Linked DNA regions of Mus musculus. The protein of the gene in region 3 binds, or shares a complex with, the protein of the main gene of each other region. Links are inferred from orthologs where the notes say so. Each region holds a gene or a part of one and is shown on either strand. Other genes may lie near its edges.

Region 1 (4,022 bases), on a different chromosome or scaffold from region 3:
GAGATGCCTTGCTCTTCTCAGGAAGTAACTGATAATATATTTAGAGGCAGAGATTCGTGGTGTAAGCGCCTAACTCTTCAATGGTTAGCAGGGAGAGAAAGCACGGGCAAACAGCAATGTAACCACAGAGGAGGAGCAGGGAGGAGACCCTGTGACGGCGGAATGGGTCTGCATCTTTATACACACACTAATCAGAGGGCAGCTTTCCACCAGTGGCCCTTGCTTTCTACCTTGTTGAGACAGAGGCAATCTGGTTATTTGGACAGCACTACATAGTTCAGGCTGTCCTGCAAACTTCCCAAGTGAGCGATTCTCCTGTCCCCAAATCCCACCACATATGCTAAAATTCCAGACGTGCATTTACACATGTGTGTTAAATGGCAGGGGTGGGGGTGGGGGTGGGGGATGGTCCAAAAGTTCAGTAGACAGAGTCTAATCCCCTGGGGCTCCGTTACAGGTAGCTGTAAGGCACCTAACAGTGATGCTGGGAGTCGAACTCCTGTCCTCTGCCAGAGCAGTGTGTGCTCTTAACTGCTGAGCCATCTCTCCTGTTGCCAGTTGTGCCTTTTAACACAGGTTCTGGGAACTGAGCTCCGGTCATCAGGCTTGTACACCAAGCGCCTTTACTCACCGAGCAATATCTCCTGGGCCTGGTTTCACATCCTGTAGTTATACACATACGTTAAAATGCCATACCCACCCCCACCCCCACCCCCACACAGCCAATCTTGATTTCCTGATTTTGATGATACTCTATAGTTACGTAAAACGTAACCATCAGAGAAAACTACGTAAGCACACACAAGCCATGTCTATTGTTTGTACAGCTTTCTATCGCCATCTGTAAATTATTTCCAAACAAAAGGTTCTTAAGCACACAGAGAAGTTTTCGTACTTCAGAGAGAGCATGCACCCACAGTGAGTTAGCAACTCATGAATACATGGGAAAAACACTAACTGGTCATGCACATTCTCATCTCAGTTTTCCTACAGATTTGAAAAATTCCTCACAAGCGTAGGCATTTTTATACAATCGCATGACTGAGCTGACAGTGGTAACAATGAACTTGGAGGTAGAACAAAGATCGTAATGGCACAGCGTGGCTGATGAAAATGTGGAAGACAGTTCGGTCACAGGCTGTACTTCACTTACACCCACACATCCCTGCACCATGGGCCCTATTTTCTTTCATCACAAATACTGGCTTCCCCAAGGTTTCTCCGTGAGCCGTCAGAGTACAAGTTCAAGCTTAGACCCCATTCCACACTACGGCTCTACCATCTCCTTGCAGAGTAAATGCCAAAAGCAAATGTCCCAAGCTGGACATGACAGTCCATACCTTTAAATCTATCAGTCAGAAGTCAGAGGGAGAAAGAGCTATGTGATCTGTGAATCCGAGGCCAGCCTGCTTTACTTAGTGAGTTCCAGGCTAACCAGGGCTACATAGTAAGACCATGTTTTAAATCAAAACAAAAATCCTGCAGCCAAATATTAGTAGAGGATAAAATGGAGAGATACTATTAGATTTTTTTTTCTTCCAGACAGGGTTTCTCTGTATAGCCCTGGCTGTCCTGGAACTTACTCTGTTGACCAGGCTGGCCTCGAACTCAGAAATCTACCTGCCTCTGCTTCCCAAGTGCTGGGATTAAAGGCGTGCACCACCAGTGCTCAGCTAATACTACTAGATTTTGACACTCACTTTTGATTGGTCAAATACCGATCCCAGCCACGGATAATATTGCCATACATCTGAGTGTCTTCCAGGTAGCTTCCTTCAAAAGCATATATCTGTCTCTCCAAGTTTGCAAGTGTTTCCTAGGTGATGAAAACAGGGACAGGGAAAAACAAGCATTAAGCAAACTGAAATTCCGTCACAGACTTGTAAAGTCAAGCTTACCCACAATGAACCATTTCTGTGGAAGTGTAGGGGTGATGGACCCCTTTATAAATAGAATGAAATGTATAGTCTATCCTCAGAAAATGCACACACATGCAAGATTTTGCATCTACTTCAGAGGCAAAACCTAGCTGTCACGAGCAGGGATGAGACAGACCGTGAGCTGTCTCCATTCTCACTCACTAAATGTGTTGCTACCAGCAGCGAGAAGGGTGAACAGCTTTTCAAAAGCATCTCTTCTACATCAACTGCTTCCTCCCTGCTAGCTCTGGAAGGGCCGCCCGCAGTGGATGCCGGTTGCTATGGAAACCTGGAAGGGCAGCTTCAGGTGAGCTTTGCCTCCCGGATGCTCGCCGTAAAAGGCGGGAGCCTACAGGGCAGTCAGCAGGGTGCCGGCGGCTCCTGGTGCGCGTCACCAATCCAAATTCCCTAGGCTGCGTCTTGGGTCTCCCGCCAGCCCCGTTCCTTGGCATCCTCAAATACACCACATTCCCCGGCCATTGAAACGCGCCGCCCATGGAATCCATCGTGCATCTTCTCCAGGCCGGGGTCTAGCCGCCTCCTTTCCAACCGCTAACCCGACCTGAGCGTCGTCCCCGCCTCCTGCCTCTCGCCCTTCCCGCGCCCTCACCGCCCCGCCCCGCCCCACTGAGCGCAGGCCGGGAACCGCGCCGCCGCAGGGAACCGCGCCGCGCCCGGCCGCCCAGAGCGCCCAGACCCTGGCTGCCCGCCGTCCTCGCCTCCGGAGCTGCCTGCGAGGCCAAGTGGGGACGGCGTCCAGGCCTCGGCCACTCACCGCCAGCTCCTGCTTCCGCTTAACCAGCTCGGCCAGCTCCCGCCGGGTGTCTGGGATCTGCGGCGGCGCCGTCTTGTTGTGCATCGCCATGTTGGGCTCAAGCGGCGGCGGAGGCGGCGGCGCGCGACCAGTAGGCGGACCCTGCGCACTGTCGCCGCTGGCCGCCAGGGGGCGCGACCCCCCACACCGCGCCTGCGCGCGCGGCTTCCGGGGAAGCTGGCCGGCTCAGCGCGCGAAAGCCGGCGCGGAGAGGCGCTTGTACGTGTGGGACCTTCCTTGCTGCTCCACTGTGGGCCTCTGAGCTTAACAGACACCCACAGACATTCACTACATCGAGAACCCAGCTGCAGCATAGGCCTGTTGAGTATTCCATATGTCTCCCGGCAGACGAGGTCCTTGCAACACCACCCAACTGCAGGTGGAAAACCTGAGCAAGGTTCCGCCCACCAACCGGGTTGCAGAGAAGATCCCCAAACCAACATCTTGCTGGGTTTAGCACAGGCAAGCAGATCTCCTGTTGTACGTGGTTTGCCGGAGGGGAAGGATTATGAAAGAATTAGCTTCTATCTTCAGATCCAGAACTGTATCCAGGCTGGTATTGAACAGAAACAGACCGTGAGTTTATCGTCCTGCCTCTGCCTTCCCACTGCTGGGATTCCATGTGTTGAGCATGCCCGCTGTTAATAGGTGCTGGGGATGGATCTCAGGACAGACGAAGCAAGCACTCTACAGGTACACCCTGAGCCCACCTCTGCATTCTCAGTGCTCAGCAACGTCACTCGTAGTTTAGGTGGCGTTCTTTGCCCCCATGGGTGGATGTCCTTGGGTTTCTATGCCCTAGATGTATATTGTTCAACAGGTATGAGAAATTCTCAATTTTCTAAAACTCCTCTTGCCTAATTTTCTCTCTCACAAACCTCTTCACTAATCTCTTGTTCCTCTCCAGTAGTACATGCCTATAATTCTAGCACCCAAGAGGCCGCGGTAAAAGAAGCAGGAAGGTCAAGGTACTACATAGTATTTGGGCCAGTAAGACTATATAAGACAGTTTCACCACCACCCCCCAAAAAAGAAAGTCAAGGCTGTAGATGAAACTCAGTTGGTAAAATATCTGCCTAAGCCCAAGCTTGCACAAATCCCTGAATTTGAGTCTAGCATCTCTTCCTTTCCTGCCAGCCTGGCCCACAGAAGAACCTCCCAGGGCCAGGCATGGTGGCACATGTCTTTATTCCCAGCACTCAGGGGACTCGAAGACAGACAGGACAGCTGTTTTGAGGGGGAAAAAATCAAGATGAGCCTCAACTACACAGAGAATTTGAGGCTAGCCT
Region 2 (4,165 bases), on a different chromosome or scaffold from region 3:
TTTCAGATCTCTCTGGCCTCTGCTTTGCCAGTATCTATAGATCTACTATGGATCAACTCTCACTTATTCTCTAAATTGCCTCTCTGCCAGGAAACTGCCTTCCCCTTAAACACAGTCCTTACAAAGGAGAGAAATTAAGGCAATTATAGAATTCCTTTAAAAATGTCGCTGTGAAGAGACTGAGGCACACCCCTTCCTTTCATAGGTTCATGTAACCAGACTCCAATTGTACTTTTGTGTGTGTCACAAGCCCTTTAAAAGTGAGGGGGGCACATTAATTAGACCATGTTTTCATCTCTTGGTCTCTGCCTAAAATCAAGTACATATCAGCTTTCTCATATGGATACTGGAACATTCTACATGTCTAAAAAAATGAACATTGAGGAAAGATCTCATATCCCAGGCTAGATGCAAACTTCCTAGATAGCTGAGGTCAACCTTGACCTTCTGACCCCCCTGCCTCTATCCTCTAATAGATTGTAAGCATGTGCCACTGTCTGGGCCTGGTCTGGGCAGTGCTGGTGATTCAAACCTGGAGCTCCATGTATGCTGGGGAAGCAACTTTACCAACTGGGCTACACTCGCAACCCAACTGATGGTCTCCAGTCTGAACAAAGGAGGAAAATTACATAAAGATTGCTTAGCATGCTGGATATGGTAGCTAAAATTATAGTTCTTGGAAATTTCCTCATAAGGAAATAGCCTTAAAGCTATTTTTTAAAGATTGATTGGAAAAACCAGAAGTCTTAATTTCAGAAGTCAGTCCTAGTAGTTAATGGCTGCTTCTGGAAAATGAGAGAAACCAACAATATTAATTAAAAAAATAATTCCAAGAAAATATTATTTATTTCTCTACAAAAATGTGCTTTTATATATACATAAAATGTTTCATGACTATTAAAGCCATATAAGTATTATTACAGGAAATACTTTTATGAAGACATCTTGGAACAAAGGAAGTTTCTTGCTCAGAATTACACAGAAAGTCGAAGAGCCAGCAATCAAATCCATCAAATCTGTATTTGCTGTAGAGAAAAATAATGTAATATTTGGAAGTGTGAAGCCTTCATAGAGCACTAATTTTTAATTAAGAGAATAAGATTACGCATGACTATATTGTTTATCCTTCCCTTTTCAGAATTTAAAGCACTTTCTCAGATGGCAGCTTATTAATCTTCAAAATACTGCTACACATCTAAGAAGGTTGTGATATAGCTGGTCTGTAAACTGAGGCCAGAAGGAAGGCACTTACCCTGTATTCTGCAACCAGGAATGGTTCTGCAACCAGGGTCAGATCTCCTGATCCTTACTGTATAGCAAACTTAGCTTTTCTGATGATGACCTAGAAGGTCAAACAAAGAGATGGAAAAGGACATAAAAAGATATGAGATGGTGACTTTCCTTTCCATCAGTAAATAAAATTTTATCTCACACAAAGGACATCAAAGCTGATAATGTAGAAATTCTATTTTTCTTGTAGTTTTATTTTCAGATAAATGTACTTTCTTGTATGTTTATCAATTTTGGAAAAAAATTAATTAATTTCTATTAAGGATAATGTGAAATAAATAAAATTGTAAAAGAACAGCAGTACAAACGGCTGCGAATCCTTCATCCAGCTCCAACAATTACCAACTGAAGGCCATCTTGTTTCATCTGTAACCCCACCCACTGCTCCCCCCCCCACGGTTTTTTAAGCTATCGGGAAAAAAATGACTTCAGAATTCCAGAATATTTCAAATATATACCATGGGAAAAAAAGACAAATCCAGGAAACCCCATCTGCCCACCCCTCACTTTAAATGATTAATCTAGGGTCCTGATGATACCCCTCCCCTCGCTGTCTATCGCTGAAATTATCCTGAAGCAGACCCTAGTCATCCATGGATTTTGAAGCCATTTTCTGACATCATTTAATCCCTAAGCATTTCTATTTCTTTCCACAAAATAAAGCATTCTGAAAACAGAACCACATCGCCACCATAAGCATTAAAAAAATTAATAATTTGACACCGATTTCATTGAAGAATATTAATCCTGCATTTAAAAATCCCCGATACGTCTTCAAGAAAATTTTACAATTGGTGTGCTCGAATCAGGATTCAAACAAGGCCTACTCCTCGCATGTGCTTCAGGAGGTCGTTCTCAATCGCTTTCCCCCCCTACATCCTTTTTCTTTTTGACTTAATGTGGGAAAATTCCGACCCCCACATTCTATTAGCAATTATGAGCTAGCAATTATTTTTATCAGGAAGGCTTAATAAATGCCTGTCGTCATAATTTCTTCTAAGAAAGAGGATGATGTACAGAAAAAGATACGATATCGAGCAAATTTGCGTAATTTAAAATTTTTCATCGCCTCTAGAAATATCTTTAGTAACAATTGCTACTACCTTTCGGGGACAGGCTTCACACCGAATGCCTCACACGCACTATTTTACTAGGCACATCTGAATCCGCGTCTGAGATAGCTACTATTACCATTTTACAAACATGGAAACCGAGACACAGAAAAGAGCCTTGCCCAAGCTGGGCGTTGGCGAGCAGGAATACGAATTCCGCTTTTCCTGAATGAGAAGGCACGAGTTAATCCTATCCATAAGTCAAGAAGAAAAGAGGAAATCATCTACCCTTCCTCCCCACCCCCACCCCGAAACCTGAAACGAGAATCCAGCTCTCTCCAGCAGCCGACGTGTGATCACTGCTGCTCCTCCAACCGCCATAGTAAAGCCAGGTTTCTCTGGCAACTGATATCCATAGGCAGACACGTCACCCTGGAGGCGGGCTTAGCCCATCAGCCAATCCTAGCCGTCTTGTCTGAGTTTTAGAATGTTCCATACCCAGATGATTGGACAGCCGCCCCCACGTCAGCAGTGACACTCAGCCGCAGTAAAGGCGGGTGCTAGCAACCTGCTTCTTCATGCTTAGGGCCGACTGCAAACCAATTAGCATCCTTCTTCAGTGAGGGCTCCCGCCAATGGCGATGGTTCTTTTAGGATCTTAGCCCGCCCTCCAAGTGCGCTCCAGCCGTTGGGTCAGAAGTCTATAGGGCAGCGCGTTCACGTGGCCCGTCTTCACGACCCAGAGTTCCCCTGACCGTGGGTTTTTTTTTTCCCCCCCTCGCGCTCGCCTTCTCTCCTGCAGGGAGGCATTATGGGTTTGTGGGTCCGCTCCCCTCCCCCGCCCCCGCCCCGCTGGGAAAGGAAGTGCCGACGTGGCTGGCGGAAACAGGCTAGGCGGAAATGAGCTAAGGTTCCCGCGAGTGGGAAGAGCGAGGGCAGACCCGGGGCCACGCCCCCGAGCCTGTTGCGCAACTCGCGGACCTGGGGAGAGAGGAAAAAAAAACACCAACGCCCCCCCAAAAAAACCAAAGGCAAAGGAATGGTGAAGGTTTTGAGGTGTGAGGCGTGTGAGGGTGGTGAGTGCCACTGGGCGGATGCCTGGATGCTTTGGAGAAACGGGGTGTCTGCGCGCACGCGGGCGCAGGCAGGCTCGCGTGGCTGTGGAGTGTGGGTGTGGGCGCACAGCCGCCCTCGTGGCGCTGGCGATGATGGGTGTGCGCAGGCGTGCTGCCCTGGTGGGGACGGGAGGGGCCGTGTGTGAGTGTGTGTGTGTGTGTGTGTGTGTGTGTGTGTGCGCGCGCGCGCGTGAGCGTAGGCGAGGTCCCTCATTTTGGTGGATTTTTCTGCCTTTTTTATGTTTGCAAACTGCATTAATAAAACTGAGAATAACTAGGACAGTGCTAGTATCTAAAGGAAAGGGCTTCTGTAAGAAAAGGCCTGCCGATTTAATCAAATTCCTTTCTTTTCTTTGCCTTTTTTCGTTTTTTTGTTTGTTTTTGAGGCCTGTTGTAACTAGGTAGCCCTGGCTGGCCTGGAACTCGGAGATCCACCTGTCCCTTCACGGCCTTCGAGCGCTGGGATTAAAAGCATGCGCCACTCCACCCAGTCCGATTTAATTTTAGACCCTAGAGATGATCATTATTCCCACATTATAGTCCACCAAAATAAACTTCTTCCATGGTTAAGATTCAGAACTATATTAGTAACGTAAAAGGGCGTTTCTTTCAAGTTTCCAGTTGTACACCCCCTCCTCTCTGTCCCCAAGGCCTCCCCTTTGCCCTTCACCAAATTTACTGCGAATCTCCCTTATGCCCCCTCACCAG
Region 3 (3,500 bases):
TAGAGAAAAACCCAAGGTAAAGGTATTAAAGGTCAGTGGTTAAATCATGGGAGTTGCTAAAAACATAACTTTCTTTTTTAAAAAATAACTTTCTTTTAAAAGATGGATAGCTGGGTGTAGTTGTGCACACCTTTAATCCCAGCACTCTGGAGGCAGAGGCAGGAAAATATGTATGATCTATATAATAAGTTTCAGATTATCAAGAATACGGAAATCATATCTTAACAAAACAAACAAGCTGGGTGGTGGTGGCGCACGCCTTTAATCCCAGCACTTGGGAGGCAGAGGCAGGCAGATTTCTGAATTCAAGTCCAGCCTGGTCTACAGAGTGAGTTCCAGGACAACAAGGGCTGTCTCAAAACCCTGTCTTGAAAAACTAAAAACCAAACCAAACCAAAACCTCCTAACCACCCCCGCCCCCCCAATTTTTAAAAGGCATATGATAATCTAAAAAGAGAGAGCCTTTTTTTTAATCTTTGAAGGCTAAGTATCCATTAAGTGGACACTTAAAATACTATTTAATACCTAAAATACTAAAAAGTTCATGTGGGAGCTAAGACCAGTGGCTGCTCTTCCAGAAAAACAGGGCTCATTTTCTAGCACCTGCGTTTCCAGGGCTCTGATGCTCTCTTCTTGGCTCCTCAGGCACCAGGCACCCAGACTATACATATGGTACAGACCATACACACAGGCAAAACACCCATACCAAAACCAAAAAACAAACAAACAAAAAAACCCCAAATAAAACAAACAAACAAACAAACAAACAAACAAAAATGTATATAGGAACGTACTGAGATCACTGTATTAGAGGGTCTATATATATTGACACAAATTCAGGAAAAACTTCCATTGTAACTTATTAAAATAAACTAGAATACAAAGGTTGTGGGTTTTAAAACTTTTTATTTTATGTGTATTGGTGTTTTGCCTGTATTTCTGTGTGAGAATGTCAGATCCTGGAGTTACAGACATATGTGAGCTGCCATGTGGGTGCTGGGATTTGAACCCTGGTCCTCTGGAAGAATAGTCAGTGCTCTTAACCCCTGAGCCATCTCTCTAGCACCCAAAGATTGTATTTTTACTTTAATGTATTAACATTGAGACAGGGTCTTGTTGTATAGCCCTGACTGGCCTGTACTCACTATATAGAATAGGCAAGTTTCCAACTTGTAGTCGATCATCCTGGCTTTGCTCCCAAGTGCTGGGATTTCAGGCATGTACTACCAGGCTTGGCTTCAGAATATCTCACAGCTCTTGTATGTTTTAGTCTACTTATACATACTCATACATACTGTGTATAAATACACGTACAACAACTAAGATTAGGGCTATGTTAAATGTAAGCAGATTAACACACAAAAACAAAGCAAGGCTAGAAACTGAGTGTTTATACCAGAATGGAGTACCTCTGGGTGGAGTCAGTTCTATCATGTTAATTTCACAGAAACCCACAGGGAAAATGGAAGGAGAGGTTGCATGATAACAGAACCAGTCAGATCCATCTGCTGCTTCTGAGCCATCAATCCCAATCATCAGGAATCCATCAGCCAGCACCTTTGAAATCAAGAGAATCCCAAATACTTGAACATGTATACCACTATTATAAAAATGATATTTTAAACAACATTCTAAAATGAAAACCTATTACATGAAGATGCTTTACAAGTAAAAAACACTTTCTCACTGGATGTTAAGTAAAGAGATACAATAACAAGAAGCTGATATAGATTGTTAATGAATATCAGAAACTAAACAAACAAAAATCATACAGAATTGACTTCAGAAAAGCAAAGTTTACAAAGGGATGACTTAAGATGCTTGGAAAAATGAATGTCTTTGGCCAATTACTGACTAAAATACTTTATGATTAAGCCACCTAGTGCCCAGTGTGTGAAATGCTTGACTGCCAAAGTCTGATGACCAGAGTTGAATTGACAGGACTCACATAGTAAAGATATCCCACTATTTCAAGTTGCTCTTTGATTTCTACACACACACACACACACACACACACACACACACACACACACAAAACCAGGATAAAAATAACCATCTAGTGGTTAAGTGTCAGGTTGTTAGTCCTAACATGTTTTCCTTCTCTTCTGATTTTTTACATAGATAAAACAAACAAACAAAAACCAAACCTTTTGCCAATCCCCCACCTTCTCCAAGCTTCAACTTGGCTGTCTTTTACCATATTCTTCTACGACACTACGACTGATTGGGCCCAACCAAGAGTCCTCTTAACTCTGTAACCATGCCTTAGGCGCCAATTAATAAGCAGCATTCCTGCTTGCCAGTACTACCTCTTGAACTTGAAATCCTCTTGCTCCAAATTCTCAAGCCTGTAATTACAGACTTGTAGAACCATGTCTAATTTTCCCCACATTTATTTTTAACACTTTTTTTTACTTTTATACTTCTAAATCTTGTTCAATTATCACAAGACCTTTTCCAAACACATGTTTTACACCCTTAATATTTTCCAATTCCATTACACTGAAAGAATTTTATACCCTGTCCAACAACCCAGAAAGAAAAAAAGCAAAGCAAACAACAACAACAAAACAAAAAACCTGAAGCAGGCTCAAAACACAAAAGGCATAAGGGTATTACTGCAGCGGAGTCTGTAGACCACACTCTGAGACCTGGTTCAAGGTATATATATTGCACAATTTGTTGTCCCTTTTTAATCCTTATTTAGCCTGCAAAATTCACCAACAACCTTGTTTTCTCAATTCAGTGGTCTGTTTTCCAAAATACTAACCTCCTCAAATATAACCTTATTTAGTGAGACAAAATCTCACTATGTAGCCCTGGCTGGCAAGGAATGCACTTTGTAGTCTGGTTGGCATCAAATTCAGAGATTTGCAGCCTCCACCTCCTGAATGCTGAGATTAAAAGCATTCACTACTATCTATGCCTGCTCTTAAATCTTATTTTATATGACATTTGATTAGTGACTTTACTTTTTTGTCCTTTCACACTCCCAGACTGTCATGTTCTAGTCTATTGATTAATAGTCACTTCTCCATTATTCCCTGTATTGGCTTTTTACCTCCAACCCTTAGATTTCTGATTTTAGCTCTTTGCTTTGTTTCAATGACCTCAGACACAATCAACTTCAAGACTAAGGGGAGTTTCCCCTCCTTGCAGAGCCTCAGTATCCATTTGATCTGCATGCTGTACACATTCTCTAAGAGCTAGTCACTGCCTCAAGTCAACAGCTCCTTCTTTAGTCTTTTAGAAAATATCACTCATGACTCTTATCTCAAACATTCTGGATCTTGTTTTTGTAAAAAAAATTTTAAAGTACTCATTAAATTAAAAAAAAAAAGATATATATGGTTATTTTGCCTGTATGTATGTCTGTGTAGCATGTGTCCCTGGTGCTCATGCATGTCAGAAAATGGCATCAGAGTGCCTGGAACTAGGGTTACAGATGGTTGTGAGTCACTGTGGGTGGTGTAAACCAAAACCCAGATCCTCTTGCAAGA

What was found.
Region 1: Mbtd1 (region 3) and Meaf6 share a complex: the UniProt entries of both Homo sapiens proteins name them as parts of the nuA4 histone acetyltransferase complex. The link is inferred for Mus musculus from reciprocal best matches to the Homo sapiens genes MBTD1 and MEAF6.
Region 2: Mbtd1 (region 3) and Morf4l2 share a complex: the UniProt entries of both Homo sapiens proteins name them as parts of the nuA4 histone acetyltransferase complex. The link is inferred for Mus musculus from reciprocal best matches to the Homo sapiens genes MBTD1 and MORF4L2.

What each region holds. Positions count from the first base shown.
Region 1 is NC_000070.6:125,083,939-125,087,960, reverse strand, and holds the start of Meaf6 (chromatin modification-related protein MEAF6), read right to left. Parts: upstream 2,801-4,022; 5' UTR 2,785-2,800; coding exon 2,695-2,784; intron 1,817-2,694; coding exon 1,701-1,816; intron 1-1,700.
Region 2 is NC_000086.7:136,738,553-136,742,717, forward strand, and holds the start of Morf4l2 (mortality factor 4-like protein 2), read right to left. Parts: upstream 2,801-4,165; 5' UTR 2,658-2,800; intron 2,604-2,657; exon of another isoform or gene 2,394-2,603; intron 1,343-2,393; 5' UTR 1,253-1,342; intron 1-1,252. UniProt on the Homo sapiens protein: Component of the NuA4 histone acetyltransferase complex which is involved in transcriptional activation of select genes principally by acetylation of nucleosomal histone H4 and H2A.
Region 3 is NC_000077.6:93,927,671-93,931,170, reverse strand, and holds part of Mbtd1 (MBT domain-containing protein 1), read right to left. Parts: intron 1,558-3,500; coding exon 1,410-1,557; intron 1-1,409. UniProt on the Homo sapiens protein: Chromatin reader component of the NuA4 histone acetyltransferase complex, a multiprotein complex involved in transcriptional activation of select genes principally by acetylation of nucleosomal histones H4 and H2A.